Linked DNA regions of Neodiprion lecontei. The protein of the gene in region 2 binds, or shares a complex with, the protein of the main gene of each other region. Links are inferred from orthologs where the notes say so. Each region holds a gene or a part of one and is shown on either strand. Other genes may lie near its edges.

Region 1 (12,831 bases), on a different chromosome or scaffold from region 2:
TGTATTGTTTAATTCATACACATACAAGATACACAGACTCAAAAATAGTTTTTGCATGTATACAAAAGCTTGGATGTGGGGAACTGCGACGGTTTTGAGTTTTATACGATTATTTACTCAAATTATTTCTAAAGATTATAAACTTGGATATATTGATAAGACACATTTTTTAAACATTCTAAAAGCCGCATTGAAAAACCTGTTTTAACGTATAGAAGAGGTCAATTAATTTATAGCTGGCAATCAGATGTCAGGATCCGTCAGAGTGTGCAATGCTTAAATCTGTTTCTGAATCAAAATATCTTTACAGATTTTATCTTGAGATATTACGTTTTAACTGATTGTGAAGCACAATTAGTTTAGATTGGATTATATTTATATCAGTGAAATTTTATCCAAACATGGAATGTATATTTTGAGGATGACCAATTACGTGTTAATTGATTACGAATAACAGTCAATAATGACAAGCATAATATATATTTAAGTAACATGTTTGCAAATACCATATAAAACTGTACATAGCAAAAAAATGGTATATTATATATTATATTTTACACGATTCATACATTATTGTATATACTATACATATTAAAGTTTGTGGTAAAATAAAAACTAAAGAATCAGTCTAATTATTAATGTTTGTCGCGATTTCATTATTCATGTGTAATCTGTAATTTGTAACGAAATTTTGGTACGCATGCATTATTGCTTATGTTGATTTGTACTTAAGCTCGTGGCTAACAGCTGAAAAGAAAAAAAGGACCTAAATTCGATAAAACTAAAAATTGTAGCCTATCAGCGTGATTCAAGATATAAAATAACTTGAGTATAAACTACAGCTATTCCTTTTCATCTTTGAGAGCACTTTCTTCAGTGAACTGTATTCACAAATGTTAAACACTGGTAATAATACAAATTTCAATAACGATTGTTGGTTTCTCAAAGACCATGGCCATTTAGTGACTTATTTCACGAATATTAAGTATTAATATAAACATTGGTACTGTTTATTAGGCAATATGCGTAGTCTACTGTTTTGGTATGTAATTTTTATAACAGCTGCAACAAATAGCTAAGTAGAAACAGCGGTTTGTTCATTCAGTATTCTAGCTATACTGACCATAACTTTTTCTTCAGCTTCTTCTAGTGCAGTGATGGCTTTCGAATTACGAATCTTAGGATTAGCTCCATGTCTAACTAACAATTCAACAAGTTTTGCATTGCCTGTCCTGGAAGCTAAATGGAGCGGAGTGTCTCCAAAATTATCCTTAACATTGACATCGCATTCTCCGCTATTTAAAAGTATTTTTGTTACAGCAAGTCGACCATTTAAACATGCGAAATGCAACGGGGTTTGCCCTCTGGACTTTGTTTTAAAACCAAGCTTTGCACCTGCGTCTAACAGTAACTGAACAAACTCTGCACGACCAGTTGCGCTGGCAATATGCAAAGCAGTCTGGCCATCACCACCCCGACTATTTATTCCTAAGGCAGGCTTCCGCTGATGTTCCTCGGGAACTTCTTCTATCAAAGTACACTGTTCACAGTTACAAAGTGGGTGGCACATCGCAGGTGCTGTAGTTTGTACAAGCTTCTGATCAGGTCCCTCTAAGCCGAGATAGTAGTAAGCCAGTCTAAGATCACCTACAGAAATTGCTGACAAGAGTCTTTCAATTCTGCGAAGTCTCTCTGTGGAATAAGGTGGCTCAAATTGCTTTTCGGTTTTCAACGACTGCGTCATCGCCGGTGAAGATTGGGTTGGCACCAGGCGAGGTGTCGAAAAAAATTCTCTGTGCGCCGCAGTTTCCAATAACTTAGAGATGCTAGTACTGTGTGCTAGCACCAACGGAGTTTGGCCTCTTCTGTTAACAGCTCTGGGTTGCGCTCCGTGTTCCAGAAGGATTTCCACTATTCCAGTATAGCCCCATTTTGAGGAGTAATGAAGCGGCGTGTCTCCGTTAGTGTTTGATGAATTTGGATCTATCGGGCATTTAGTGTGCTCCAAAAAGTATAAGATTGCCTTGACACAGGCTTCGTGACCATTATCAGCCGCTAAATGGAGGACAGTGTTCCCGTGAGCATCTGTGATTCTCGGGTCGGCATCAGCATGAAGTAATAAGAGTAATGTATTCTGGTGTCCTCTGGCAGCTGAACAGTGCAAAGCAGTAGTACCATCCGCATCAACTTCATCAACATTACTTCCGTGACTTATAAGCAAGTCCACCATGTTAGCCTGACCGTATAAAGCTGCGATATGAAGGGCCGTTAATCCTCTGTCATCTCTGGAATTAACGGTAGGTAAACTGAACCTTGCGTCCCTGGCTAAACTTTTTTCGCACGATTCACAGCAGCATAAAGGATGACATAGCTTAACATTTGGCGGTCTAATTTTATCTATAGTTTCCTTAGACAGTATTCTCTCAACTTCTGACGTATTTCCGTGTTTTACTTGGTCAAAAAAATGACTGATTGATACTTCATCCACTCTGTTTTCTTCCAGCTCGTCTTTACCAGACACGTATTCATACGTGCCGTCTGCCTCAGGGTGGACTGATCCTGTCAACATTCCAGATTTGATATGCTCAATGGCTGCCTCAAGAGAAGTAACCAAAAAGCCAGCTTCATCAGTTTCATATTCTGAGGTCGATGAAAACCTAAACTGTTTTATAAACGTTAGCTGAGCTATCCAATTAGGCAGACCCGCTCTTATCACCAAGAATATAAGAACTGGAAGCAAATCGTCTGATGAAACTGAACTCTCACCTTGTGATGCAAAGTGAACCGCACGTTTAAGGCAGCCTATTTTTCCCAGAACCGTTGCGAAACCATCGAGCCTTGCCAGCTCCAATTTTCCTCTAACTGCGCCGCCGTAAAGATCAGATCTGACGCCCAGGTCCCGTAGTTGCAATTCGTGCAGGTTTTTAATCGTTTTATTAAGACACGCATCATCAAAGGCGGTGCAAGCGGAAACATATTTTGGTAAGAGGTTCCTCAACCCGTAAAGAACATATGTTTCCACCGCGACTTTTATACCGTTGAGAAAATGCCTACTGGCAGTTGTTTTCTCCCTCAATCTCGAATCCCTGAGAACAATGCGAAGGCTTTTCGCGTACAAACCAGCAACAAGATCACGCTGAGTTTGCAACGGTTTATCTTCAAGCTGATCCTGGTCAGTTTGTTGATATTCTTTAACCGCATTATCCAGCTCTTCGAGCACCTCCTTGTTCAATATCTCCGTCCAGAGAAAATCTACGCATTCTCTGAGATTTGTCAAAGTGGGCAGGGACTCGTACGAAGTGATAGAACTTCGCTCCAGAATCCGCTCGACACACCATATTCGATACTTCTGTGAATCTTCGGTATAGAAGGTTTCCTCGAATAATATATGCGCTGTGCATGGCTTTGCGATATCGTAATCTACAGTTAGGACCCTGTTGCATAGCCTCACTTCCTTGCCAGTCAATGTTCGGAAGTGAGTAGCTGGCAGCTCTTCGCTTGGTACCAAAATGTGTCCGAGGAAGTCGTCGGCCAGGAGAGAGCCTCGGGAAAAGCTGCCTGAACGAGGAACGCAAATGACCCAACCCTCGTTTACCGCCTTTTCAAATACACTCGTGTACTCATGCTGCAATTGTTGAAAAAATATATTCACGTTCAGATCCTCGTCGTAATTTGATTCCATATCTTTTATATGATCCCATGCGTTTGTCGCTGATGATGAGGTGTCTCGATTTTTAACGAAATATAAATTGCTGTGCAAAGAATATGGGAAAAATATCTTGTTACGACATTTATTCGATTTACGTCGAGGTTGCTTTCGACGCCAAAGGCCTAAAGGCACAGGAACGTCAAAAAAGTGCGAAAATAAGGTTAATACACAACGGCACATCAATGAAATTTATTTTATTCTTCGAATCCGTACACTTTTCGACAAAAGTATCGACTCTCCTTCACGTATTTCTTTCATTGCGTTTTATCGCTTTCGATTATAAATAATTGTTATTGTAATTTTTCTGCTTTGGCTGCTGTCAACGGTTACTTATCAACGACTTTTTGCCTTGTCTTATTTTATTTCTTATTTTTTTTTTAATATTGTTCACCAGTCGATAATTGACGCCTCTAACCCATACTGTTGCAAATCGAATCCAACAGATGGCAAGAGAGAAAAATATTTACAATCGGATAGATTGCATCAAAATGCATCGCTTTCGTATTGTTCTTTTTTTTTTTTAATTACTTGTTTTTTATTTTAACCTTCATTTTTAGAACTATTTAACGCGATGGATTATTAGAAACACGCAGACATCATAAATATAGTATTATATTGTAGTTTTATGTTTATTTGTAATATAATCTGCTATTAGTTATGTCGATATACGCTCAACAAGATTGCTTTAGACTTCTACGAATTTGTAAGTTGGGAATATTTTTTATCAGTTTATTTTGCGTTAGATACTTATTTTCTTTCCTATTATATACAAGCGACTTACGCAGCAGCTGCATGGTGATGTGTAAATTAAATTATATTACAGGACTCTGTGAGTGATCCAAATTGCTGGATTTTTCTCATTCAAAATTTTTCCCCCGTAATAAAAAATTATAATTTGACCAGCCAATCGCGAGCCGTAAAATATAACGCGAATATGTAATATTATGATTTTTTTTCATTTAACGTAAAAAGTACGATACTGCAGAAAAAATCCGATGATGGTTATAATAAGGTCGAGTTGAAAGGAGGCTCAACATTTCTTTCATTATAATTTTCCAATACTATCAGATAGGTAGCTGTTATTGTGATATTACGATCTAGTTTGGATAATTGTGAATTCGGCGCGTTGCTTCTGCGTGCATAATTATCAATCTAAAACAGGAAATAGTTATATATGCCATGCGCCCCATGCTTGATATAACTTGCACATTTTTCTGCAAATATTTTTGGAAATAGTTGCGATTCTTTATAATATCTTTAAATATCCCAGTAATTATATAAATTTTCAATCATTGGATAATAATTACTATTATCTCAATGATGTTTATTGACCGAATCAATTTTGCCGGCCATTTTGGCGTCTACAGAAGTTTCGTCGCTCGATAACTCTCGAAAATCGAAAACTGTTCACTTCCGTCATCTGGCTGCTCGCTACGCCGATATTCCGATTCTAAAATAAGGTGTCACCCGTCGTGTTACGCATAGTGAATAATTGTGATATTCATTGTTGTGAATAGTATCGCTGTTTACGGTTTTTCACAATGGGAGAGGACTTCAATGGAGGTGAGAATATCGTCCCTAAATCAAATACATATTCAGACCCCGTACTAACCTCCTCGGCGGTGGTCTCCTGGCGGTTTCTGCAACCTTATAATAAGATTCAGTAATGGCGGCAGCGTCTATTACACCGAGTAAACACACGGATCTTATTTCGCAACGTATACTTACATTCCAACCTTTCAACGATTTGCACCGTACGAAATTCGAAACTTAAATGGAATCTGATAAGCCTTCGAGCCGCCTTTCGCTGTCGGGATGAATTCCATGTTTGGCCCTATTATACTGGCAATCATCGTGGGCAGGGTTCTAAAATCTCGTCACAGTCACAATGTCATTTATTTCAGTTGTTAACAAGCCAGAAAGGTTCACTAGCCCTCGACTAGCGGTAATTTTTTCTTGACACTATTATTGTAAACTAATCTACTTGGTTATGATCCCTTGTACGAAAATTACTCTATACATTGTTTTTTTTTTTTTGGCCAATTTGCATTTGAAGTATTCATTTCGGAGAAATATGTTATGGCTTGGGTAGCGATGTTTGAATTTGAATTTCAAGGAACAATCCGATACTTGATAATTGTTTCATTTATTCGTTCCCTTTCTTTTTCTAAAATAAGTTGAAAACAATGTGTCTGCTTCCTTTAGTAAATAATTCCAAGATTAGATTAAGTTCAGAAATTATTAAGGTAACAACATTTATGGTAAAAGTAGATAAGGCTAAAATTAGTTGAGAAATGACTTGGGCAACAACATTCATGTCAAGAAAAAAAAAAAAATTAAACTTTAAATAATTCTATTATCATGACATGTGTACTGAGAATAGAAATAATAAAGCATGGATATCATTTTATTCACCAGAAGAGTCATTTGCAGATCGCGAGCGTCAGGAAAGAGGACCAGATAGAGAAAAGGAGAGGGAAAGAGACAGAGATAGGAGACACAGATCTAGGAGTCGGGACCGTAGGAAGCGGTCACGGTCTCGTTCAAAAGATCGTCGTGACAGAAAACGGAGCAGCTCACCTAAAAAGGGTCGCAGTTCTCGCAGGAGAAAACCCTCTCTTTATTGGGATGTTCCGCCACCAGGTTTCGAACACATCACGCCATTACAGGTGATACAGTAATATAAAATTGTTTGTGGTTTTTGACAATTCGAACGCCATTAGTTTCAATTTCAAAGCTTAGATTGATTCCAAATCTTATTCAATCTTTTTGTTTTTTATAGTACAAAGCTATGCAAGCTGCAGGACAAATTCCAGCGAACATTGTAGCTGATACCCCTCAGGCAGCAGTACCTGTTGTGGGCAGCACAATAACACGTCAGGCTAGGAGACTTTATGTCGGAAACATTCCATTCGGAGTTACAGAAGAGGAAATGATGGAGTTTTTCAACCAGCAGATGCATCTTTCCGGCCTTGCACAGGCTGCTGGAAATCCCGTACTTGCCTGCCAGATCAATCTTGATAAAAATTTTGCTTTCCTTGAGGTATTTACTCCGCATTTACTGGCTTTGACTAAATTGATTCTACCGAACCACTATGTCATTTGATGTATATTTCTTACAGTTCCGGTCCATTGATGAAACGACACAAGCAATGGCTTTCGACGGCATTAATTTCAAAGGACAAAGTTTGAAAATAAGGAGGCCGCACGATTACCAGCCGATGCCTGGCATGACAGATAACCCTAGCATGAACGTGCCAGGTACGATTCCTGGTATGTGCTTCTGGTCAGATGTAATGGCACGTCAGAAATTGAGCACAACTTTTTTGGTCACATGGAGAACTTCTTTCTTTTTACAGATTCACCACACAAGATTTTCATTGGCGGTTTGCCCAACTACTTGAACGAGGAACAGGTATGTCAGCCAGATGTTTTAAGTACAAACTCAATATTTACTTGTTTGGGTTCATTATCATTTATTATCTGTGCATATTACGTGGGATGCTAATTTTTTCATCAATTTTTGTGGAGAACGTTGGTTATTGCTTTGTGCAAACATATTTTTTTTTCTCGTTTGCTTTTGGAAAATTAATGTTGTAAGTTAGTCGCTTTAAACATAGCTCTTTCTCAGCTTTTAAGATTCAATGTGAAACTGATGAACTAACATACCGAATGCAAAGAAATTTTCAAATTGCTATTCCTCGAATCATGATAAGACGGTAAACGCAAAATCCAGACTTGAAACATCCCCGTAATATTATTTGAAATATTTTTTAGTGAACACTGGTGGGGGTTTGAGGATCGGTATCGTTTCAGCAAATAAATGCATATTACGATATCGTTTCTCACCGCTACAAGTGAGAAGAAATCATTAAATTGTAAACTAGGTATTTAGCGATCTGGCAGAGACTCTGCGTACAACACCCGTGTGTGAGATTCCTGAGAGGTATGTATTGTTCCGATTTCAGCGTCGTTTAGGGTCGTTTAGCTAGCATAGAAATGTAGGGGTTCATTTTTCATTTTGCCTCTTCTACGAGATTTCGAATGAAGTTACGCCTGTGTATTTTTGTCCATCCAGGAAACTCATTTACCTTCGCATTTAATCAATTTTCCGCGAATTTCGAAATCAGATAAGACTGTACTTGAAAGGTGTGTGCAAAGATTGTCGATGTGCAAAAGATTTTTTGATTCATTCAAAATATCGAGTATTAAGCATGTCGTACAATTAGGGCAAAGAGGCTAGTGGCGTTACAGCTTTTAGGTGGCACGCTGTCGCAGTGACGTTTTTCTTTTACAGCCTTTCTAGGTACATTCATTCGTTCGTACGGTGGATCCAGCCGATTGTAATTTTTATCCTAAGGATTTAGACATTTTTTTTTTTTTTTTCTATCGAAGGAAATGGTCAAACTGAAGCTGGCAGGGCGGGCAGGGGGGTCATTTCAGCCATCTCAACACGTCTGGATATTCAATTGTAACAAAACAAAATGAATAATTGCTTTAAATTCTTATTTGCAAAAAAGGAAACTCTACAAAATGTTTATTCACAAGGTGAATGAGATGAAGGGAGAAATGGTACAATGTTGGTCATATAACTTGCTTTCCTTTCTGAATCGTATATTTTTTGTTTTTTTGCTCATAAGCTAAAGTTGGAAGCAATTCAATTCTGGTATTTTGTTAGAATTTCATGTCCGGCTGTTGAATATTTTTTTTTTTTTAGGTCTGCGGGAGAAATGAGTGGACAGTCCATAGAGAATTGGGTATTTTTTTGGGTGGGTTTACAGGTATTTTTTTAGGTGCATCTGGTTATGACTACAGATTTTTATCCAGTATCATATATTTCAGGAATACTTTTTTTTCCTTCCTATTGCAGCTGTTTTCTTTACAGGCACGTTCTACGTATTTCAGGCATTCAACTTTTACAGGCCAATAATTGTATATTAAACGAAACTAATGTTTCTTTTCATGATAAAGTAAGGATTTAAAAAGTCAAAAAAAGTGTCTTGTTAAATTTATGATGAAAAGCATAACAGTGATCTTATAACCGTAACATAACAAAAGAAAAAGTACAAGAAATCAACAACAAAAATGAAAATCGTTTGGAAACATAAAGAAAATGTGGACTGATACCAGTGCTCTTTCTCCCCATTTCTTAGCTTAGGGTCGTGCCGATCAAAAGCATTCGCTTACCACTACCACTACTTCTACCACTACCACTACCACTTCTACTACTACTACTGAACATGACAAAATACTACACTTGCCGGAGTGCGGGTAGTCTGGTTTCTTGAGGCAAGTATTCATATCAGTTTGCTTGTTTTCACATTTTGGAAAGAGACTTTTGCAGCCACTTGGACGGCGACCGTTAAATGGCTTCTGAATTTGGTGCGTATCTTAGATTTTTAAGAGTTTCACGATGACAGCACGTGATCCATACTTGTCAGACCTGGCTTTGGCCTCTATGTACAAATGTGTATGGAATTTAACTTTGCGCATCTTTGGATGTGACAGTTATTTTTTTTGTATGAAAAGAGATGACTTACTTGGTTGAAATTGTATAATTTACTGATACAAGTTTAACGTGCTGTTATCAACAAAAAAAAAAACTACAACGTTTCCAGTGTCTCTGACAAAATGTCAACACTGTAAGTAGACAAAAGGTATAGTAGTGCGCATTAGTGCAGTATACAACCCACGATTCTGTATTTTTATGTGTATATGCATATTAATACATTTATCACAAACCCTCACCTTAACGCACTTCGTGTTGCATTTGGTACAAACTTTATATTCAAGAGTTTGTATTTCATGTATCGAAATGCGTTATCGTCTCATGTACAAATTTTATCCATATCATTTAATTACGTTTAAAAATAGATAGACGAGCACATTGGCGTGCTAAACATTCAACATTCCTCACATTCATTTTTTTAATGATTATTTCGAAATGCAAACTTTGTTAAAACAAAACATTGAAATAGTCGATTTATTTCTCTCAGTGGAAACGAAAATCCCTATTCAATTTATTTTCTACAAGTGTTTGCGTGTAGTTAATAGATTGTAACGATACGCGATTTCCATTTAAATTGGTTTAACAATCAGCAATAAATTCCTCCTTTTTGTTACTTGAACAATAAACTTTTTCCATCACAATTTATTTGTAATTATCTTAATAGTATATGATACATCATCAGTAAATATAAGTATATTGTGACATTTATGAAAGCAATGAAAGTAAACAGAACACTTGCTGGGGCTAGTGGTTGTAGATGATCTTAAAAAATTGCACAAGAAAGGAACAGGTGAACAACATAGATTATAGATCGATTCTTCAATTCTTTTTATAAATAAACAATATACGCGAAAAAAAGTAGATTGCTATTGTACCAGATTCTTGCCATTGATATACGAAGTATTTGAATATTCATAATCATGATAGAGCCAATTTTGTTTCTTTTTTTGCGTTCAATTCGATTCGTTGATATCTGCTGAGAATATGCCAGACTTTGACAAAAAAAAGTGAGCAAAATCGTTATGTTTCAAAATAGACATTCCACTTTCAAATTTAATCAGGATACCTCGGAATTAATACTTGAAATGATTGATAATGAAATAACAGGTGAAGGAACTGCTGATGAGCTTTGGACAACTCCGGGCATTCAACTTGGTGAAGGATTCAGCTACAGGATTATCGAAAGGATACGCGTTTTGCGAGTACGTTGATGTCACGATGACCGATCAAGCTATAGCTGGGCTCAATGGGATGCAGCTTGGGGATAAAAAACTTATTGTACAACGGGCCAGCGTCGGAGCTAAGAATCCAATGATCGGCGCTCAGGCTCCAGTTCAAATTCAAGTTCCTGGTCTCTCGATGGTTGGCACTAGCGGTCCAGCTACCGAGGTACAGGGGACATTTGTTTTTTTGAAGAAGTTCTCTTTTTGTCGTGATCGTCAGACCAAATTGAACCTTTACTTGAACTACTTCAATAAAATTTTTCTAGGTGTTATGCTTACTCAATATGGTAACACCTGAGGAATTAATGGAAGAGGAGGAGTATGAAGATATTCTTGAAGACATCAAGGAGGAGTGCAACAAATATGGAGTCGTTCGGTCAGTAGAAATTCCTAGGCCCATCGAAGGCGTTGATGTTCCTGGATGTGGAAAGGTTCGGCGTTTTATCAATATTTATGCAATTATTTACAGCATGATGAATCGTTCTCCGAATTTCATCGATTAACTGCCATATTGTCTGTAAAACTATGTCTAATCAATGATTAACTTTGTTCCAGGTTTTTGTTGAGTTCAACAGCGTGATAGACTGTCAAAAGGCACAGCAAACGTTGACTGGACGAAAGTTCAACAATCGAGTCGTTGTAACGTCCTATTTTGACCCTGACAAGTACCATCGCCGAGAATTTTAAATATATACGAGTTCCATTCCTCGTAACAGTCAATAAATAATCAGAAATTGAACGCAATTGTCATTGTAGCAAAAATTTTGTCTACTTGTATGTTATTCGTTAATTGATATGCTTTTAACTATGATCAAGTGCTACTAAATCAGTGTATTGATATTATTTTTAAAGTATTCTTAGTTTCCCACTTTTCAAATGATTAGAAGAAGTTGTATCTCATTTAAATTTAACATTTTTTTTTTCTTTCTATGCTGGACCATCCATTGGGCGTTTCCCTTTTTTTTTAAATATCTCTCTGCTTTTGCTCTCTCTTCTTGTGAATCATATACAAAAGCAACATTACTACGGTAAATATGGCTATGGCTAACAGAATCAGTACCTTGCGCGATAACATGAGATTAAACGTTGCCTTCGATATTTCCCTCTTCTTAGTTTTATATAATTATCAAAGGCAAAGTTTGTGCTTACGTGACAATGGTCTATTGACGATTTTCAAGACGTATCCAGCGTTCTTCACAACGGAGTAACAATTATCTACTAATTATCACGAGCTTTGAGAGCAATTCATTTAATATTGAAGCAAATACGAGCAGAACTCTTATAATAATATTGTTTCTTTGTGAGTCGCAAAATTGTCGTTTCGTGCTTTAATTTAATACGGGCACAAGGTACGGTCTCTTTTTTATGGCTTCCTTGTGATCTGTACGGAAATCAGCGGTTACCTTTCCGTATGAATATAAGGTCATTTGTTTTTCATAATAATTTCTTTCAAGTGCAACCAATGCTCTTGAGAGTTGAATATTTGCTTCAGCAAGTCGACAAATAATGATTGATTGAACATTATTTATAATGAATAATTAATACCTATGTGTCCCCGAAAAGTAGGGGCAAAATCTTGCGCAAAATATGTTATTTATTTAATATATACATGATTTATGGTGAATTTTATTAATATGCCATGCATTATTATTTGCAAATTAATACAATTGGTAGAATATATTACCTAGATTTTGTCGCTACTGCCTAAAGTATAGGCTAACGTCCAATCAGTATAAATAAAATTAAAAGAAAAAAAATAATGACTACATTGAAACAAAGAATCCTAATTTTTCGCTCTTTATTGGCAAAGACATACATGTAAATATAAATATAATATAGAAAGGGTATAAATAAAATTTGTATCATCTTGAGTGGGAATAACAAGTTTTTTGTTTTATTGTATGATGTTTAATCACAACGCCACAGAGACGTAATGGAGAATTTTTTAGATCGGATTCCAAAAAAAAAATTTTTGTTTCTTCGCCTATAAGAATAACATTATATTGACGTAAAATTAAATGTATCAAGACGATGTAATAAATGGGTGATTATTTGAGTGTGTTAGTAGAAATTAAATTTCTTGTTGCAACGCAGGCTGGTAAGAACTGTCTGTATCCACGCTGTCCACTACCAGCCTTTTTAGCAGGCCGTAAAAACCAGCACCGATAATCAGCATTCCAATACCGGTCATCAAAACTATTGACCAAGCTGGAATTGCGGTGCCTCCTGAAATATGATCAGAGTTTAGTTTTCAATTGTATTTTTCTATAAAAAACGTAAAACTTGTCGTGATTGTTTGTATTTTAATTTACTTACTGTAGTAACGTCTGGTTATTGTTTTACGTCCTCTGAGAATTTTACGCCTTGCTTCAACTTCTTCCATGAACATT
Region 2 (9,880 bases):
ACATGAAAAATGAAGTCTCTTTACATGCTTTCTACTTTGCACTACTGCTATGTCTTTTGATCTTCATAGTGTAATATTGTTCGATATCTTATTTAAGTGTAACCAGGATATTCTCGAGTAACATTATTTATCAATAGTGAGTTTCATTGTGAGATAGAATTTATTTTGCTTATGGTATTAGATTATGACCATATCTTAAATAAATAATGCTTAGTCTAGATGGTCAGAATCTAACGAGCTAAGTATACTTCAATTCCAAATAAATGCTACAGTTAAATTACTCACCCTATCACGAACAAACAATTTTACTGGAGGGACTCCAGTGTCTTCAGTTTTCTGATTTTCTACACTACGTAAAAATTCAATCTTCTTCTTGCTGGCAAGAAAATTGATCGAGTCTTCAGCTAATATCATAATAGTATCGGTGAGCTCGTAACTAAGTAGCCAAGTCTGAAAAAGTTCCATGCATCTTTAAATATTTTATAGATATGCGGCATGAAGAACTATTGAAAAGATTGATGTTTCAAGATGTGAAAGATCGAAGACATCAAAATTCTACAAGATTGTAGTTTGCATTGTTGATGCAACAAAACATTGAAGAATAAAGAACCATGTTTTGGAACTTTAGAATTACTTCGAAGGAGTTGAGTTTGCAAAATAGAGATTTTTCTCAACATAGTTTTACATTGACATTATAAACTTTGACTTGATAAAATTCTTTTTATCAGTATACGTAGCCGGATGACAAGATTATGAAAATTGCAGTCAATAACAGACCAGCAAACCAGAGACACCTTTCGTGAAATGATACAAATATCATAAGATCGTTAAATAATGGTTACGATTAATGACGAATTCAAACTATCAATAACGTTAAAAATAGGTCTGGCCAAAATTGAACCTTAAATTGACTATACTGTGCTTCCAAATGCCATGAACTCTAGGTTTCGCCAAATTTATTAATTAAGCAAGAATAATACAATGTTTACAACTTGGATTCAATCGTTTGTTTACATTAATTTTTTGTACACTCTGTAAAACAATTTATGATAGTTATACATCTAGAAATATAGAATGGATAATTGATAAATTTAGTTATATGATCAGTATCATACCTGGAGGGCTGTAGACTTGCTGTATACAATATCTTCGTCAATTCCGACCGCCGACACGAGACTATCCATCTTCGCAAAACTATCATCCGTGCCGGATTCACCATCCTGTATAAGAAGTAGACATGTTTATAAAGGCCAATGTATTAAGTAAAAGTTTTCAAAACGAGACTAACATCGTTATACTCACTTTCCACGCTGCGTATAAGCGTTTTATTCGCCGGAAAAATGTGTCTTTATCAAGAGATACGTTTGCCATGGTACAAAGTTTTTAGGTTGATCTTTGTACACAATAAATTATTATGTGAAGGATGACGTACTCCTTCTGAATTAAGGCGAGAATGATAAGACTTGTTGAAACATTCACGGTACACCGTTCAACTTCAACTCATCACGCATACTTGTGTTACCAAGATTCCAAAATTCCGACGGCACGCTCAAACTCCGACTTCCGATGCGGACATGGCGGGATTACAACCAAAGCCTGAGAGTTTGTATATGAAAGAAGGGGCAGCTTGTATCCCTTCCGAATTTCCGGAAATGTGGTTATGGTGGCTTTTACAGGCGTTTTTCACAGCCCTGTAATATCCGACCGGAACAACCACGGGTATGTTCCGATATACACTGCGAGCACTGTTCAGTGGTCTTACTGGGGAGAAATTCGGTCCATTATTGGGAAATCATCCACTCAGATACGCTACCTGACGGATCAAATATAAACTACTCTATGCAGGTCAAGCTTAAACTGCTGATATCAAATATAATATGTGAGAAATGTAGTTTAAAAGTGTTAAACTTTTTTTTAAATATTAAGTAATCAATTATTATCTATAAGCTTAGTTATTACTTAAAAACATCTTAAATTTCAATATTTGATCAAAAAATTTAATCATGGAGTTTCCACCACGAGAAAATAAAAATAAAACTTTCTGCTGCGTGTATGGGTGTAATAGCAAGTCTAGTAAGAACAATACAGTTCGATTTTACACTTTTCCTTCGGCAAATTCTAGTTTTGTAGTAATCAAAAATAAATTTGGTGAAGATGAAGTAATTGATCGTCGATTAGCTTGGATAAAAGCATTGAAAATTGGGAATGAGGTTACACAGTCAAAAAAAGTGTTTTCATTACATTTCGCCAAAAATGATTTCATACCAACATGTAAGTAATTACCTATAGAATTTCATTTCATAATTACTTGTTTATCATCAATATGAAATGATATTTTTTGTAGTGTAATATTTGTCAGAAAAAATAAAAAACAATAAACATTAAATTTTATTTTCCATTGCAGCCAATGTTGCGATATTGCACCCACAACTTCATGCGGTGGATCTTTTAAACGAGAAGTTTGGAGACAGAATGCAATTATTTTATACTCATTATCACAACTAGTATCTGATTGCTGTAGGCCACATTTCATTAGATGTCCCGCATCAAGTATATCTTTACCACCAATAAAATTTTTATGACTAGGCTGAGTATTTGCAAACTCACAAATTTCTTGTATTGAAATTTTCATATTTTATTGAATTTTTTTTGAAAATTCGAGTTTAATAACTGTAAATAAATACACGCTTTCACATAAGAACACGAAAGCTGATTTAAAAATGCGTTTTAGAATAGTTACTGCTTCTGCCGCAAGGAGAAGCCACGCCCCCGGCAGATTTCCCAATAGGCTGACAGTATACAGTTGCAGTATCCTAGGGAAATAAATGACGTCATAAATCGTCGTCATTTTTCTACTCTGAACACTGGTGTTTTCGAGGTAAGGTGCTATCAGTGCTTTGCTCACGTGATCAACAGCGTTCAGAAATTTAACAGCTTCCACTATTGATAATTATTATTATTGAATATTGTCATTTAAAAATACCGGTCGTTAAAAACAAATATGGAAAATTTGAATAAATTGTGTTTATTGCAGTGTGAAACAAATATGATGTATGAAATGAAAGTAACGCCAAAAAATGTCGATCACAGTATACTGTACTGCGTTCCGTTTAAACAGTAACCAGTATAGCTAACTATAAAGGACCGGCTTCGCAGTATACTAAATTGACGTCACACCTTACAGTGCTCGCAGTGTATGTCGGAACATACCCCACATGTATATGTAGCTCAGTTCGTTTTAGTTACACTTTTCTACACTTTTTTTACACTTACCCTGAATTTAGCCAATGGAAGGTGCCCTTTCCTAAGGAAAGTGTAAAAAGTGTAGAAATTGTAACTAAAACGAACAGAGCTATCAGGTTTGTTCGTGCTAGCTACACTCTACACTCGCGAGTGTAAACAGAACTACGGTAGTGTACTAGGGATTGCTGGGGAGGTACGTCGGCTTCTCGAGTGTAGCTAACACCCGTATTCATAGTCCCTCCTTATCTCAAGGATAAAGGACGCCTTGATGAAGGCTTCATTAAATCTCAGCGGCGTCCTCGTTTCATAGTCACAACTTGGCTCTCCTTTCCAGAAGGAAGACATATTTAGGGATATGTGATTGCTTATGGTGGTAAAACTGCTGATCGAAGCGCCACTCGGCTATATTTAAATATAACTTAATCCGCTTGGCTCTCATTGTCAAGTTGCGTCGGTTGATTTCACGTTTCATAGACCTTCCTCGACAGAGTAGCCGTATTGGCCTCCTTCTTTCAAGGCAGGTCTCGAGCTTCCTTGAGGAAATCTTCGGCACTGCGATTGGCTGTTTCGTTTCATGTAGCCAACGCTTGCGCTTGCGCTTGGCGTCTATGCACTTATGACCCGTATGACGCAGGATCACAGCCAGTCTACAGGTTAACTTCTTTGAGGTTATACACACTCTCATCACCGACGCAACTTGACAATGAGAGCCAAGCAGATTAAGTTAGATTTAAATATAGCCGAGTGGCGCTTCGATCAGCAGTTTTACCACCATAAGCAATCACATATCCCTAAATATGTCTTCTTTCTGGAAGAGAGAGCCAAGTTGTGACTATGAAACGAGGACGCCTCTGAGATTAAGGAAGCCTTCATCAAGGCGTCCTTTATCCTTGAGACAAGGCGGGACTATGAATACGGGTGTTATTATTTATAAATAGAGGTGCGTTCCGAAACTAACTGTTGACAAGCCTTTATTTCTTTTGCGCTGCCGAGTTCGTAAGTAGCTTTGTCTCTGCCCTAGGGGAGTTTTCAGCGCTACCAGCTAATTCCGGAACGCACCTATAAAATATTCCTCACAGCACTGCGAGCTAACGCATCGGAACCACGACTTTACATGTTTGGATCGGAACGTGATCGGAACGCATTCCTGGTGTATACTGAATACGAATTACCTATTTTATTGGTATTCCTATTGGTTAAGAACTAGGCAGCAGAAGTCCTTCCGCGGTATTTTACTGCCCATGAAAATGCAGACTTCGCATGAGAAAACGCCACGAAGTAATGAAAACGCTATCAAATGACAGCACAAGAAATCATAATAATGAAATAAACCGAACGCTTTGCCCGCCATTTTAATTGATCGTAGTAAATCTGTTATCACCCACATCCATGGTTATTACCTGTTCAGTCGATTCAGATTCTCTCTGCCTTGTGTGTGTCGGTCAATCGTAAATTTGTGAAGAAGCAAGTGCTTGTTTATTCGATCAGTATAAAAGAAGCAATATTTGTAAAATAGTGCGCAGAAGGCTGTAAGCCATGGATTCAATTCCACGAACCCACGAAGGTAGGTTTTGCAAATTAGACTTCACGCTAGCCGAGGCATGACCTGAGCTGAGAATGTTGAATTGATAACGTCGCGCCGACGAAGCTTGACAATATATTGTATTGTATTACTGATGATGCACACTTTCATTTCTTTGCATATTTTCGCCGAATATTTACACTCCCGGCACACACCTAAATAAGCAATATATCCTCTGTAAGAAAGTCAGCCGACATACACACAACACACCTTAAACAGTTGACGGTTATAATTGGTATATAGTTTTTAATAGTTGTATTACAGTCGTACACCGTTATGACCTTTTACATGCATTACAGACATCGAAGCTCAGATCCGTGAAATACAATCGAAAAAGGAGATACAGAATAAAGAGCTGACTGAAAAAGAGCAAGTAGGGTTGGGAAAGACTGGATTCTATGATCAGGACATATACGATGGTAGCAACAACAAATACGATGGTTATGTCACCTCTATTGCAGCTAATGACGAGGTTGAGGTAAATATCTATGTTTATTCGCAAAAACGGATTGCCAAACAAAATTGAAATAGTTTAGGTTGAATGGGGATAATGAAGAATTGAAATAATCAGGTATACGTAAGTCTGATCAAAATATTCTTTTCAGGATGAAGATTATGAACCAAGTACATTTAGTCAAAGCAAGAGGCCAGGCTACAATGCTCCGGCAGCGCTGCTTAATGATGTTGCTCAGGTAAATAATGGTTTACTGAAAATTCGAATGCCAGACCGTCAAAACTTGCAGTATAAGTAAACGAGTTTTGCTTTTGTCTCAGGAGGTCCAACAGGATTGTAAAAATTGTTCATTTTGTAACTATAGAGAAACTGTCCGTTTAAGATTTGAAATTGATCTATTTCATAAGTTTTCCGATACATTCCATTTGCCAAATTTATGGAGAGGCGGCGCAAAAGGGTTGGGGTCAATGAGGGGGTTATGTAACATCAGTCATATTGAAATAGTTGGAATTACTTAAATTGCAGGACCAAAGATGATACTTCCATTTATTTCAAAATGTGACTAATTTTTCATTTCCTGTATGACTACTCGTATTTAATTTCAATAACAAGTGTTATCTAATTATCAATATTTTTCACAATATTCCACAACCTGTTAAGAATGTTTCCTCTCCAATCTGATTTTTTTTTTAATTCATAGGGGTTTCCGCAATCGCTTAGAAGCACCTAATTCTACAAGGTTGAAATTCGTAATGTAAATGTAACAATTACACTTTGTAAAAACCATTAATTATAACTAGGGTTGTCGGAAATTCGGCCAACTATAACAATGCAGAAAACACTCATATTCTTCAAACTCAACTCTTGAAGTTATTTTAATATTGTAAAATAGTGACTTCGTGTTCATTGTTCTATTACATTGGCATTATAGTCGAACCTAGATATATGGCCTTGTCATGGGGCCCGAGAAGAGAAAAAATTCTCTATGAAAAAACTAAAACTAAGGGTTCCTCTTACAATCAAACTAAATCACATCATGCTATTTCTCCTTTAAAATCCATGATTATATTTAACAGCTGAATAATTTTTTCTTCAAAAGTATTCCTTTTTTTAGTTACGCATACCATGTCATTGAACATCTTTTTTCTTTAGTTATTGAATATTTGAGTTTTGCGAATATACTTTTTTTTCTATTAAATATTCACATGAACAGATTTCATCAGTTTGTATAGTACCAAAAAAAAAAATAAGAAATCTAAAAATATCAAGACTGTACAACTGTTTCACAATCCATAACTAAAAAATGATGTTCTGGATATGCTCCGTCTCCATGCATGCTTTCAAAATAAGATTTAGTCATTAATAAAGATATCACTATCTTGTAATATTGAAAAGACTTGAAACAGTTGAGTTCTCACAACAAGAGTATGATTTGCTTTATTGTGGCTTACTTAATTTCAGACAATGCCAAAGTTATGAAATAATAATTTATCCTGAAGGTTCATTGTTACATGATCGTTATCAACTTTAACTTCATCTTTGAGACACTGTCTCCAAGTGTGGCAGTTTTGCAGTGTAGTTGGATACTTCATCTGACTTCAAGTTTTTGGGAAAGTCATTTTAAGATACCATGTCATTCCTGATCGATACTTTTTACAATATCAATAAATTAAATGTTGTAATCCTGTTAAATATTAAGTAATGGTTATGTAATCACTTTCAGAATTTGAAAACTGAAAATATGAAGATATCAATGTTGACATTCATATGAAAAATTGCGGTATTAATCTACAAATGGAAATTTAGCATCTTATCAAAGTTGAGCTTACCTGGGAAAAATGTTTTCATATGATCAGAGAAAGTTCTATGAAATTATATCTAGAATTTGACCTGATGAAAATATATAAAACTATATGCATGTGATTTCACGTGATTTTGTATAATTTTATCTAAGTTAATATTTTCAAATTTGCGTTATAATTTCACATGAATTTATCTGATTATATAAAAACATTTATTCCCAGGTAGATAGAAAGTGATAGTTCAGTTTAATAACGATGCTCTTGAAAATTCAATTTACACCCATTAATATTATCTAATTGTAAGACCCGGATTTGCAGATTGCCATGTAAACATCATATCTAGACCAAGCATTATGTTTAGAAATTTTTTTACATTTCCTGGAAATATCTGTATTTCTCAAGGAATATTTCTTACATTTCAGTAGATACTCTGTCTTGCTTTATTTGATCATCTCCTCGTTGAGTGCTGAGAGTATATTGATACATTGAGATTATTGTAATTTGTATCACATAAACCTCCCTTCAGTTTGCCTTTTTGAAATAGATTTTTTGCTCATTTTGAATAGAGTGAAAAGGACTATGATCCGTTTGCTGATAGACGACGACCGACAATTGCGGATAGAGAAGATGAGTACAGGCAAAAGCGACGACGCATGATCATCTCACCAGAACGTGTCGATCCATTCGCTGAAGGTTGGTAGTATTTTTTGTAAGGCTATAAATTACATTTTAAGTACACTGCAGGTGATTTATATTTATACATTCTATACCCATAAGTACATCATACAACAATTTTATTTTTGTGACTTCATTTTCCAATATATTTTTTAATGCATCCCCTCATTTATTTACTTAATCAGATGTCTCAAGACTAATGCATACGGTTTACACAACCGTGAAGTCAACAATTGATCGGGTTTTGCAGAATTGTTCATTGATGGAAATGTAACATTTTTTTACATCTTACGCAAATTTGTCAGGCATCATAACTATCAGATAATTGAGTGGGTGGATTTAATACTTTAGCGTGCGTCGCTTCATTTACGTGCTTTCATTGAATACTGCTTGGTCGAGTTTAATTAATTTATCACTTTCACATTGCTATTGTTCGTACCTTTCATCATCATATGATAATTTGGGCAATTTCAAATCTTGTTGAAACTTGAAAATCCTTTTTCTGGTTGATGATGTACCATTGAATAAAAATGGGCCTATCTGTTTTCAAGCATGAAGATATTATCCAAAACTACAATCTGCGGCGTGTGACAGTAGGTTAATCAACTTTGACATTTCTTGCCAATAAATGTTTGGGAAAAAACAAAATAATGTCGAAGACCACAAGATCCCATGTTTGGAATCGTGCAGTAGCAATTAGATTTTGGATATTTCTTGCATGGATATAATTTGTATTACAAAGGATAACTGAATTATTTCATTTCAACAAAGTCAACCTTATCTCTGGAATAGTGAAAAGTCTTTCATTAGACTGTTCAATACCATCTTGAGGTTCCATGCATGTGTTGCTACATGACTAGTTGTGCTTTGGCTATTTAATGAAATCAAACAGGAAAATTGGCATTTGTATTTGAAGAGTCAGTTAAATCTTGAAGTCAAATTTGATATTACCAATTGACTTTCACAGAAGAAAGCAATGCATTCCTCTTTACGACCAACCGAAGGGATCTTGCGAATTCAATGAGTACGAAACATCTGTAAAGATACAATAAAATTGTAAGGGGTTTGAATGGAATGAGCGAGTGAGTTTCTTGAAAATACATACTAATGTAAACATTTTTTTCCAATCTTAGTGACGGTCTGCACATTTGGAATCATCTACTTACCCAGGATACTATGTCGAAGGTTAAACGACATTAAGTCGTCGCCATTTTTAAAGATTGTCTGTTTCAATAAAAGATATGATGAAACTTTTTTTTAAGACATGCAACAAAATTTTAGTGAATAGTTATATAAAATACTGAAGTTGGTACACTTTAGATAACTTGGAAAAGTACCAAATTTTTTCTGTTCACCTACATGGACTAGATAGTTTTAGATAATGTTCTAAATCCTGAAAGTCAGTACATTTGTGACAATCTGAATATAAATTTATCAAATCGTAACTTCTACTACATAGACTGCGAACTTACGCAACTACATTGTAATCTGTATCACGCTTCATTTTCATGTCTGTTTATTCTCTATGTTACTTGTTTTCTTTCCAACTTCCTTTTCATAATAGAGAATCTGTTCTTCTATATTAGTTAAAATAGTTTATCTCTATCGTTTTTTTTTTTTTCAGTTTTTTGTATCATCACAAAACTGCATGATTTAGTTTGAAAAGTTTCATCATATGTTACAGGCTGTACGGAGTCTTACATAGATTCTGACACATTCGATATCCCTAGAAATTTTACGACTCACGATGTTGGATGAATACCGTTAGCATTGCCGGCCACCCGCCGCAGACTCTGCTTGGCTTCTGCTCGGGCCTAAGCGCGCGGCCGGTAGTGCAAACGGTGTTCAATCAACACTGTGAGTCGTAAAATTCCTAGGGATATCGAACATGTCAGAATTTATCTAAGTCTCTGTACATAAGAATATTCAGTCAAATAGAATGAGTGGTCTGAATGCAAATATTATTAATAACGAGAATGAGTTGATTTTTAGATGGCTAAAGTATTTTACGATGTGGAAGACTTGAGCGGGGCTCTGCTCCCTATGGCACCAAACATTCACGTACGTATGCCAAATGTCGGCTACTGTTGCAGCTCTCTTACACAAGACAATGAAATTTCATGC
Region 3 (9,346 bases), on a different chromosome or scaffold from region 2:
TATATACTTCTCATGACTAATCTACAGCTGTGAACCGAAGCGTGCGCTAATCTACAAGGAGCAGCAAAGATATCTAACGAGGTTTGAAGATAATGTTGCACTTTCTTTCTTCCGGGAATTGACTGTCATTTTCTTAGAGCACGGTGCTGGTAGTTACAGGCATAAGCTTGAAAAGCCCATCAACGTTTGGCATTCGTATCTGTAAACAGTTTTCTATGGAGTAGTCAATCGACTTCCTACGCCAATGCAGTGGTAAGTGCCCCCCGGCTTCCCCCAGCTTTACCCACCGTGTCTTGCCTTGCCTCGGCTTGCCATGCCAAGCCAAGCCATCCGCAGCCGTAGCTCGGCTAGTCGTTTCTTTTCTTTATTCCTTTGTCGGAAAGTCGGCGGCGAGCCTCGATTTTGAGAGAAGAAGAGAGGAGGAGACGGCGATGTGGTGAGGCGGGGCCCGGGGGGAGAAAGAGAGAAAGAGCGAGGGTGAGCGAGAGTGGGAGAGGAAGAGGAACGAGGAAGACAAGGAAAGAGTAGGTAGAAAAAAAGGAATGAAAAGCAAGAGAGGAAGAGAGAAGGAGAGAGGAAAAAAAGGAGAAAGAGAGAAGCTGAGAAGAGTGAGAGAGCCTCGGAAAGACGCGGCGAAGGGCAGGAGGGACCGTGGAGAAAAGAGAATAATATGGTTGGATTAAAAACTCGGTACAGGCTCCCCTCTGAATATCGGTTGGTAATAATAGTACCGAACCCAGGGTCCCGAAAAATCGGGGATCTTTCTCCCCGAACCACGCAACTATAATGCGGCGTTGTGGCCAAGCTGAAACGCGGGAAGATATGCGTATAAATAAGCCCCGGGGTTGAACCGCGCGTTATTCCCGCGTAAACAGGCGTTACACGGTCAAAGTGTAAAAATTTGCAGGGGGAATTAATCGAGCCACATACCAATATAGCATAACTGTATAAATTGCAACGTTGGTAGATTCTGTCCGAAGCTACTGAAACGAAAGCTGCGCGCTGCGCCTGAGCGTTTGATTTTACTACGAGGAGACCTCCAATTAGCCACGATCGTGTAATCGCGCTTCGGCTTTATATTCCCAGCTCACGGATTAGCCGTGACGGTTCGGAGCCGACGCACGGTATGCGACATTAGTTCAGGTAGGCGAGCTGAATGTATCCAGCGAAGTTGAAGGTGTAAGACTTCCCGTAGCTGGCTAACGCGGAGTGTTTATCGCGGTGCGGGCCGTCAACGGGCCGAGGAAGAAGGTACGGGTACGCGGATGTATGGGACGACAGCTGGCTGTTGCTTACCCGGATCCCCATTACGAGAGGCCTCGAGGATTGGAATCGAGTTCCGAGAGCAGCGGATCGAGCCTCCGCCTTACGATCAGCGCTGCAGTGTCGGGCGACGCGGGCGCTTTTTAATAACCGGGATCATCGCCGCGGCGCGGCCGCGAGTATTTCTCGCAAGATAATACGCACACCCGTGCTTTTAATACAACCGTACTAATTAAATCGATAAAGACAAGCGGTATCTATCGCGGTTACGATTCGCCACAGATGGAAGGAACGCAGGGCTCGATGAGGATCGGTCCAGGTAGACCGGCAATACGCTTTTACCGCTCTCTAGCTGCAGCTTCGCCCTCGGTTTTGCTCGTCTCTCGATCCGGCCCGGCTCGGCTCGGCGCAGCGCGGGGTTCCTCGGTTAGGGATAGAATCTGAGAGGGGGGAGGGAAGGGAGGCGGGTAAGGTCGGCGCGTTTGATCTCCGCCGCGGGCGCCGACAAAGCGTCCGTCCTTTCGTCCGTCGGTCGGTCGGTCCGTCCGTCCGTCCGTCCATGCGTCCGTCGCTCCGCTCGGCTCCGCGCGCCTCACCCGGTGGGCAGGAGAGAGTCGGCGGCGTCGGCGTCGGCGTCGGCACTCGGGCGGGACGCTGGCAGTCGTGGCCCCCCGTCACTGCGTCATGCCCGCTTCAGCGCGCGGACCTCCTCGGGTACCCGATGCCAGTTGCCACTCCCTGCCGGTGCGCACCGAGTTAACTTTGCTATTAATAAATAACTTTGAAGCCCGTACACACATGGCTACGCAACCCACTACTTTCAGAAGCTGAAAGTTCGAACTTTGCATTTATCAAGCTGCACGCCGCCGCTGCCACTTATTTTTCGCTCCCGATTCACCCCTTCCAGAGACTCATTTACTTACAGACGAGACTTCCGCTTCGTTGCCGGAAAACTACTCGCTAAACTCGTACACTTGCGCGAATACCGTTACACATGCATATGCATACCATACGTGCTCGGGGATAGAGTCGCGCGATAGTTTTATTCGCGAGTTATACCTGTTTACGTGTATATGCACGCACTGCAGGGCATATAAGGATTTACAACACTTCCTTGAAGAAATATTACGACGGGCAGATACATTCATTCGCCTTATACTGTTCGAAGAAATACGGACGTTGCAGGAGGACCACTGGCGTTGAATCGCGTTACGTCAGCGGTCCCATCGGGTTTTGGTTTTGTCTGAAACGGATGGACGAGGCCTTCGCATAGTGCGGACGTTTCATTTCGTGGAACGGTATCTCGTTACGTAAATCGTAGAAGCGAAACTTGAGTACCTGAATTGTTCGCAGCCGGCGAGCCTCGATACTTCAATCATTATGTTTATTGTTTGCAGTTATATCCTTTGACACGAGCGCACTCGTTCATTCATCGATTCGTTCGCCCCTTCTCTTACTCCCCCAACCGCAACTTCCACAGGGACCAGGCATCACTGACACTTCCCGGTGCCATAGCGCGTGTGCAGCTCAGGATCCATACACACGGATCGCATAATGCGATAACAGCAAAAACTTGGAACGGCCGAACGAATTGCATGTGCGTGGAACAGCTGTAGCTATACGAGCGTGGCAGCGCTTGGGAACTTGTGTCCAAACGAAAACTATTTTCACCGAAGGATCTTACGACGTCTCATTGTCGGTCGAGTATTATTGAATGAATACTGTGTCCACAACTGTATATCATAAAGTGAATTTGTTGTAATGGTATGGATATAGATATATGTATATAGCTATGTCGGTATATCTTACAGGTATATATGCGAACAATGGTAGACGTTCTCGATAACGCAACAATATGGCTATGATAAGTGATAATCCTACGACGTATTTGTACGACGATAAATCAGAGTAAACATACGACCTTGAACGTGGAAGTACCTACATTGCCCACGATTCTCTTCTGGTTGCTATCAGTCATTCCTTCCACTATCGGAAGAATGAAATGGCAAAGGAAAATAAATGATCTTCTGCATAATCTGCAATCATGTGTATTATATGTTGCTGAGTAATAAAATTATGGTCTTAAAAATGCAATGAATTGATGGTTCGAGAATTTTTTAAGGCTTTCTTTATTTTGTGTTTTCTTCCTCCCTTTTAAAAATCAGATTGTCTCCAGAAAAATCTCATCGTCAATTTACAGACAGTAGGCGAGGTTTAGTTTGATTTAAATAAAAGTTTAATTTTCACTTCGCATGATCTGGAGTTATTGAGTGGCTGTACACATTGGTGACTGTTTCAGAGTCACGTACGCGTGCAACCCGTTGGCAATTTGAAATACAGGTTTTAGCTGGCTCTTAGTTCTATGATAAGTTAATGAGATGGTTGACCCATGTTCCAACGACTAGTCGTCGTAGTTTTTCTCGTTAAAAATGCTTTCATTGGTTTTAATATGTTACGACAGTTTTATAACCGTAATCAGCTATAGGGCTTGCGTATAAAAACGACCCCCCATTAAGAAGGGGAGATCAAAGTTAGAATATAATTATATCGATGTCCAAGTATCTTCCCATGCATGTATGAACGTAGTTATTACAGGACAAGAGTAACGTAAGTGGGAGAGTAAATTCCTGTGGTTTAATCAAAACACTAGAGATCTGTACGTTACTTATTTCGGACTGGCTAGAAAAAGGCACTTGTTCAATTAGATTTTGATACATTTAATGCATTCAGCGAGTATCGCATAGCGCGTTGGTTTCACTTTTCCAAATTGAACGTTAAAAATTTGGGGTGATCATTATCAACATTACGACTACAAAATTACCTGAAATTCTGTACAAGCAATTGCAGCGTAGCGTCATCCGGCGGATGATATTCACACGAAGGTACCCCAGACCACAGAGTTGATAGAGAGAGCCTACTCTAGCGTTTTGTGTGGCCTCCATTTTTAAGCGTCATCCGACACAAACTAGGTTTTTGAAACTACATTTCGACGTAGTTGCATGTTACCGACTCGTATTCTACTATACTTGCCATCACGCAAGCGGTAGATGTAAAGAGCCTCTTTGCTCGGAAGCTTCGGAACCTTCGGAAGCAAGTCTTGATCGGCCGGAAGCGCCATGCGAACTTCGCGCAACGCGACCGAATTTGTTGAATTTCCGGAGCAAGTTGCGTCAGGCGCACGATCCAAGAAAGACTTACATCGTGGTCAGGCGTGAATATGAATTCTCTGACAACTTTTCGCCGAATACGATGTGTCTAAAAATAAACGATAAATGAGAAAGAAATGGCAAACCTTGTCTTTTCTCACTGTACGAACTTTGGATTGAAACTAATAAGATAATGTTAACGATAACGCATCTGTACATAATTTGATATGTAAGCAGTGGTGTTCGTAAATGTAGATGTTGTAATTTTTGCGGAGCGATAGTTACTTTTTGGAACGATTTTATGAATATATTGGTTAAAGAAGTACCTAACTTTATCAAAGGAATGAATCGTTATTGCTACCTAGATTCAGTCCTTCGAGGTCGATGTATTAGTAGATGATAGATAAGATTTTACACTAAATTATGAGCTTACAAAGATTGTATATTATTTCTTCCTGCTGCAGAAATACTAAGTGATAATGTTTGCGATTTGTTCAGTTTCGTTACCACTACTGTGACACTCTGCTATGGTAAATATGCCCTGCCTTATCCACTGCTCAGATGATGCTAAATACGGCAGAGTCGGTCATCAGTATATGTGGCGCCCTGTATTTATCGACTTGCTTTATCTGGTAAGGGCTGGTAAACGCATCGATATGCACGATTCCATTCAGTTATATTCAATGGTTGTTCTTGCAAGAACTGTGAATCGTGCTACAGACTAGTGCAGACTGAATGATTGAAGGTTATATTTGACATGTCAACAACATCCACGTTGAAATAGTACAAAAATGTCATTGTACGATGATTTTGATAAGCACCGAACAACAGAAAAAGTCGCAGGGTGGTCATCGGGTATTAAACTATTACAGTCCCAGCTGCAATTAAAAAAAGCGGCAACTACACAGGTAATATTTCACTTAACCGCTACTTTGTAAGTACATTCAATAATTCAAAACGTTTTACCGTTATCGAAAACTTTCGAAAATTTCGTTTCAAAAAAACATTTCAGTTTCAAGATTTATTTATTCCGTGCCGGGAATATGAAAATAAAACATTCGCATTTACTTCTAAATTGAAGACTAATATCAAGAACAATTTTTTATAGCCAAAAAGAGAACAGTTCAGAAAAGCTGCGGCAGTTTTGGCACCTGTGATTGACTTGAAATCAAAGGTTAACCGCGATGGCGAGAAAGACGAAGATTCACAAACAGGAAATTCTCTTACCCTTAGTGGTACAAATAATGTCGGAGTCGGAGGCGAGTTTGATTGGAACGTAGTAAATGAATATGACCCAATGTGGCCAAACGAGTACGAAAAAGTCGTCAAGGAATTACGTGATATTCGGGACAGAGAACACGACCAGGAAAATGAATTACGCAAACGCAGACGCGACACTACCAGATTTGAAGATCCACAGGTATGGGAATCGAGTTTTTCAATTTTCATTGTTTTACTGGTATCGCTAAGTCGTTGGATTTTTGTTTCAAATAAGCAATATTGTGGCTGGCAATTTTATATGTCAAAGTTAGAAAGCTCTTTCTTCTCTATTGTCGTCTTAACTGAATACTAGTTTAGATCATGAAGAATATCCAACATATTTAAGCAGTTTGTGTACAGATTGTTCCAAGCCATTGAATGTAACAACAATCATGCTTTCTTCAATATACATAATTAAATGATCCCAATTTAGACTTCCCCTGGCAGCAACACAATGGTCGCACCAGAAAGAGACGAGGAAAGAACACCAACTTCGAGAGGAGTGGGCGGTGGCGCAGCTATAGCACCTCCCCCATCCCTTCAAGAGGCACCAGATCTAGCACCTCCTCCACCTCCAGCACGACCTCAGGCATCGAATCTTGGCTACGGTGCTTCCTCCGTAGCTGCAAAGATCATGGCAAAATATGGCTTCAAAGAAGGCCAGGGTCTTGGTAAAAAGGAACAGGGAATGTCTGTTGCTTTACAAGTAGAAAAAACCAGCAAACGTGGTGGTAGGATAGTTGGCGAAAGAGAACAATTGATGCCTCCTCCACCACCCATGGTACCTTCGCCACCACTACCTGTCGCCCCTGTTCCACAACCTGTGGTTCCTCAGGAGGAGCCAAGCATTACAGAGATTATGAAATCACCAAGCAAGGTTATTATAGTAGTGCCATGCGTAGAAGTCTGCGCAAAATTATTTGCCTTTAGTACAGGTCTATTTTGTTTCTCTTTAGTTAAATGACATGATCTTAAACAGGCATACGAATCTCAAACCTTGTTCAACTGGCTGTGAAATTTCACCATGCCCGTTTTGCTTTTTACGTTTCCCACTAAGTCTGGGTATATGAGTATTATCAGTCATGTGAATTTTTTTTTCAAAAGGTGGTACTCTTACGAAATATGGTTGGACCAGGTGAGGTGGATGAAGATCTTGAGCCAGAAGTCAAGGACGAGTGTAACACAAAGTATGGGGATGTATCGCGTGTTATGATTCACGAGGTGATGGACGTCCCGGCTGAAGAGGCAGTGCGTATATTTGTAGAGTTTAAGAGGATAGAAAGTGCGATCAAAGCTGTAGTAGACTTAAACGGTCGCTTCTTTGGCGGAAGACAAGTTAGAGCTGGATTTTATTCCTGTGAAAAATTGGACACCTTGCAATTGATGGACTAAACTTGAAATACATGAATTTTTTTTAAATGTGCGCCGTTGGTGAATAATAAAATACTGTCAATTAAAATTGAGTTGAATCATTTTCATCGTAATTGCTACCTGTTTATTCGGCTGATGATTATTGCACTGCATTTAACAGTAGGTTTTAGCAATCGTGGTTTCTTATCGTAGACTTCCAATTTTGGTTGTTTGGATTGATAGGCAATTGTAATTTTGAATCATACGAAATACACGAATATTTCGATTTGAGTTTCTACTTATCTATTATGTTAAATTCATACAGGGTAATTTCATCACGAAATATACAGACGTTCATGATTTTCTCTACATTCGAAGGCCGTGAGATTGATTAGTGAGTAAAAATACCCTAAACATGATGTGTATATAGGCATTTTCATTACTACAGATTTCTTTAATGGGGTGATAATCATTGTATTTAGTTTTGGAATGCAAATCCAAATTATAAAATGCAGTTGATCAGAAGTTAGTTAGTTCAAACATATTGTAACGCTTTTATTCTTCATACATAATCGCAGTTAATAATTGTTTGTAAAATAATGTATTTGATATACTTCCCTGTAACTGGGGTAATTCAAGCACAGTTTTCGTTGGTGAGCGTCGTGATATGTAGGAACAGATCGTTTGAAATATAGAATTATGCTGTTACAGCCATAGCTTCGATAACATCAATGAGATGCTATGCACAACCTAGAGGTGGACTATTCAGTCGTGAACACACTTCTTTAAGTAGATTTTTTAGAATGGCTGCCTGATTACTCGAGTCCTTGAAAAAAAATATACAAGATGGATGACAGATAAAGGATGATCAGGAAATTGTACTGACACCGATATCAACAAAGATTATGCATGAAATTTAATAATTCTTAGATTGCATAATCTTAGATAAAAACTATTTCTAAGATACTTATCTTACCTTGTCGAGCGTAATAGTGGGTATGAATACCACTTTGGGAGACAAGTCATCTGTCATTTCCCCAAACTTGGCCAATAGCTCTTTCCCTTTTGTCCCCTTATAACATTTCTCTATAGGTGTGACATCTAGGTTAACCTTGGCAGCACATTGATGCATAACTCGTTCAGGTTGCATGTTGTCTTGGATCATGCAAGAAATATAATCGAGCTGTATTAACTGATCATTGACTAGATCAATAACACAGGCATGTATGATATTTGCCTCACACTCGAGTGGCCCATGTTGGCACGTAAATTCGTACCCAGTGGGAGTTTCGACTGTCTGAAAGAGGAAAGAATTAAAACTTGAATAATCAAAAGATTGAATTCTAACATATGGGGATAAGCAGAATAGCCCGACTTACCTTGGCTTTGCCATATGGTATGAGTTCTACCTGCAGGTTCTCCTTTATCTTTTGAAATGTTGGCAATAGCTGTTTGACTACAAAAAATTTTGAATCTGGACAAAGGGCTTCATAATACACGGAGACCAGCACCTTCTGTACATCCGTCTTTGGCGGCTCGGCTATATCTATTCCTTCGACTAGCTCTTGGGCCGCCAGTGATTTTGCTGCAGAAGACTTAATGCGTGTTCAAGCAGGTTTAAGCAAAACAAAATCTTTAACTATGATTTCAAGATTCACTAAAATCAACAAGAGGTAAAAAACCTCATCTGAGAAAGTTGGCTGGTGGTGGTTTAACCATTTAACTATGTTCAATACTAAAATTGGGGCTCGAATTGCCAAGCGTTGCTTTGCATGAACCCTAGTTTATGCTCGGTTCGAATAGGTAAGGTTATGTTCCAGTAGTGCTTACCTGGGAAGGATCATCGCTGAATTGGAGAGACGGCCAATATTTGGCTGACTGGTACAAAACGAGAGCAGTGCAAAGTAATATTATTAGACGGTATCGAAAGCTTCCGAGTCCCATTTTAAATAATAATAAAAGAAACACTTTCTACTGCGATAGACAAAGCGGTCACATACGCAAACTTGGAATGACGGGATTGTTTATTTAATTAATTTTACACAGAGATAAAGTTAGCTTCTCATATTTAATACGGCTGAGCTTGTATTAGTTAATCTTGCGTCGCATGTTTAATCGAAACCTTATGGTTTCGCAAACTCATTGCGTACGCAAGGGTTTATTTCGAAACCAATATGGCGGCGTCGATTTCGATATCTACCGATAATCGATATCACCCTTGTTGATGCAATCTAATAGTACGATTGGCGTGATAATATATCATATATTTAATTCACCAATACAAACACTCGCTCCATACTTTGATTAACTCAGTTTTGTATCAAGTT

What was found.
Region 1: the proteins of splicing factor 3B subunit 1 (region 2) and splicing factor U2AF 50 kDa subunit are in contact, whole or in part, in a crystal structure (PDB 7SN6), measured with the Homo sapiens proteins. The link is inferred for Neodiprion lecontei from reciprocal best matches to the Homo sapiens genes SF3B1 and U2AF2. Residues at the interface, in NP_036565.2 of Homo sapiens: Ser336, Arg337, Trp338, Asp339, Thr341, Pro342, Ala343, Met346; in NP_009210.1 of Homo sapiens: Met383, Glu388, Glu394, Glu397, Ile398, Asp401, Val402, Glu405, Gln447, Gly448, Leu449, Thr450, Gly451, Arg452, Lys453, Phe454, Ala455, Val459.
Region 3: the proteins of splicing factor 3B subunit 1 (region 2) and splicing factor 45 are in contact, whole or in part, in a crystal structure (PDB 2PEH), measured with the Homo sapiens proteins. The link is inferred for Neodiprion lecontei from reciprocal best matches to the Homo sapiens genes SF3B1 and RBM17. Residues at the interface, in NP_036565.2 of Homo sapiens: Arg334, Ser336, Arg337, Trp338, Asp339, Glu340, Thr341, Pro342; in NP_001139019.1 of Homo sapiens: Leu309, Met312, Val313, Asp319, Asp321, Leu322, Glu325, Thr326, Glu329, Leu372, Arg375, Tyr376, Phe377, Gly378, Gly379, Val382.

What each region holds. Positions count from the first base shown.
Region 1 is NC_060261.1:3,587,681-3,600,511, forward strand, and holds splicing factor U2AF 50 kDa subunit, read left to right. Parts: upstream 1-5,113; 5' UTR 5,114-5,250; coding exon 5,251-5,272; intron 5,273-5,360; exon of another isoform or gene 5,361-5,375; coding exon of another isoform or gene 5,376-5,400; intron 5,401-6,127; coding exon 6,128-6,378; intron 6,379-6,491; coding exon 6,492-6,752; intron 6,753-6,831; coding exon 6,832-6,982; intron 6,983-7,068; coding exon 7,069-7,124; intron 7,125-7,677; coding exon of another isoform or gene 7,678-7,701; exon of another isoform or gene 7,702-8,856; intron 8,857-10,325; coding exon 10,326-10,607; intron 10,608-10,707; coding exon 10,708-10,872; intron 10,873-10,996; coding exon 10,997-11,128; 3' UTR 11,129-12,397; downstream 12,398-12,831. Other genes in the region: ankyrin repeat domain-containing protein 27-like, read right to left, coding at 1,076-3,889; uncharacterized protein LOC107224427, read right to left, coding at 12,513-12,667, 12,758-12,831. UniProt on the Homo sapiens protein: Plays a role in pre-mRNA splicing and 3'-end processing. By recruiting PRPF19 and the PRP19C/Prp19 complex/NTC/Nineteen complex to the RNA polymerase II C-terminal domain (CTD), and thereby pre-mRNA, may couple transcription to splicing.
Region 2 is NC_060262.1:17,194,867-17,204,746, forward strand, and holds the start of splicing factor 3B subunit 1, read left to right. Parts: upstream 1-4,556; 5' UTR 4,557-4,779; coding exon 4,780-4,807; intron 4,808-5,124; coding exon 5,125-5,303; intron 5,304-5,430; coding exon 5,431-5,517; intron 5,518-7,647; coding exon 7,648-7,774; intron 7,775-7,796; exon of another isoform or gene 7,797-8,941; intron 8,942-9,349; exon of another isoform or gene 9,350-9,817; intron 9,818-9,880. Other genes in the region: FACT complex subunit spt16, read right to left, coding at 286-450, 1,116-1,220, 1,303-1,371. UniProt on the Homo sapiens protein: Component of the 17S U2 SnRNP complex of the spliceosome, a large ribonucleoprotein complex that removes introns from transcribed pre-mRNAs.
Region 3 is NC_060260.1:29,028,189-29,037,534, forward strand, and holds splicing factor 45, read left to right. Parts: upstream 1-5,056; 5' UTR 5,057-5,200; coding exon 5,201-5,317; intron 5,318-5,517; coding exon 5,518-5,829; intron 5,830-6,102; coding exon 6,103-6,546; intron 6,547-6,773; coding exon 6,774-7,061; 3' UTR 7,062-7,128; downstream 7,129-9,346. Other genes in the region: gamma-interferon-inducible lysosomal thiol reductase, read right to left, coding at 7,759-7,845, 7,996-8,316, 8,399-8,614, 8,850-8,963. UniProt on the Homo sapiens protein: Splice factor that binds to the single-stranded 3'AG at the exon/intron border and promotes its utilization in the second catalytic step. Involved in the regulation of alternative splicing and the utilization of cryptic splice sites.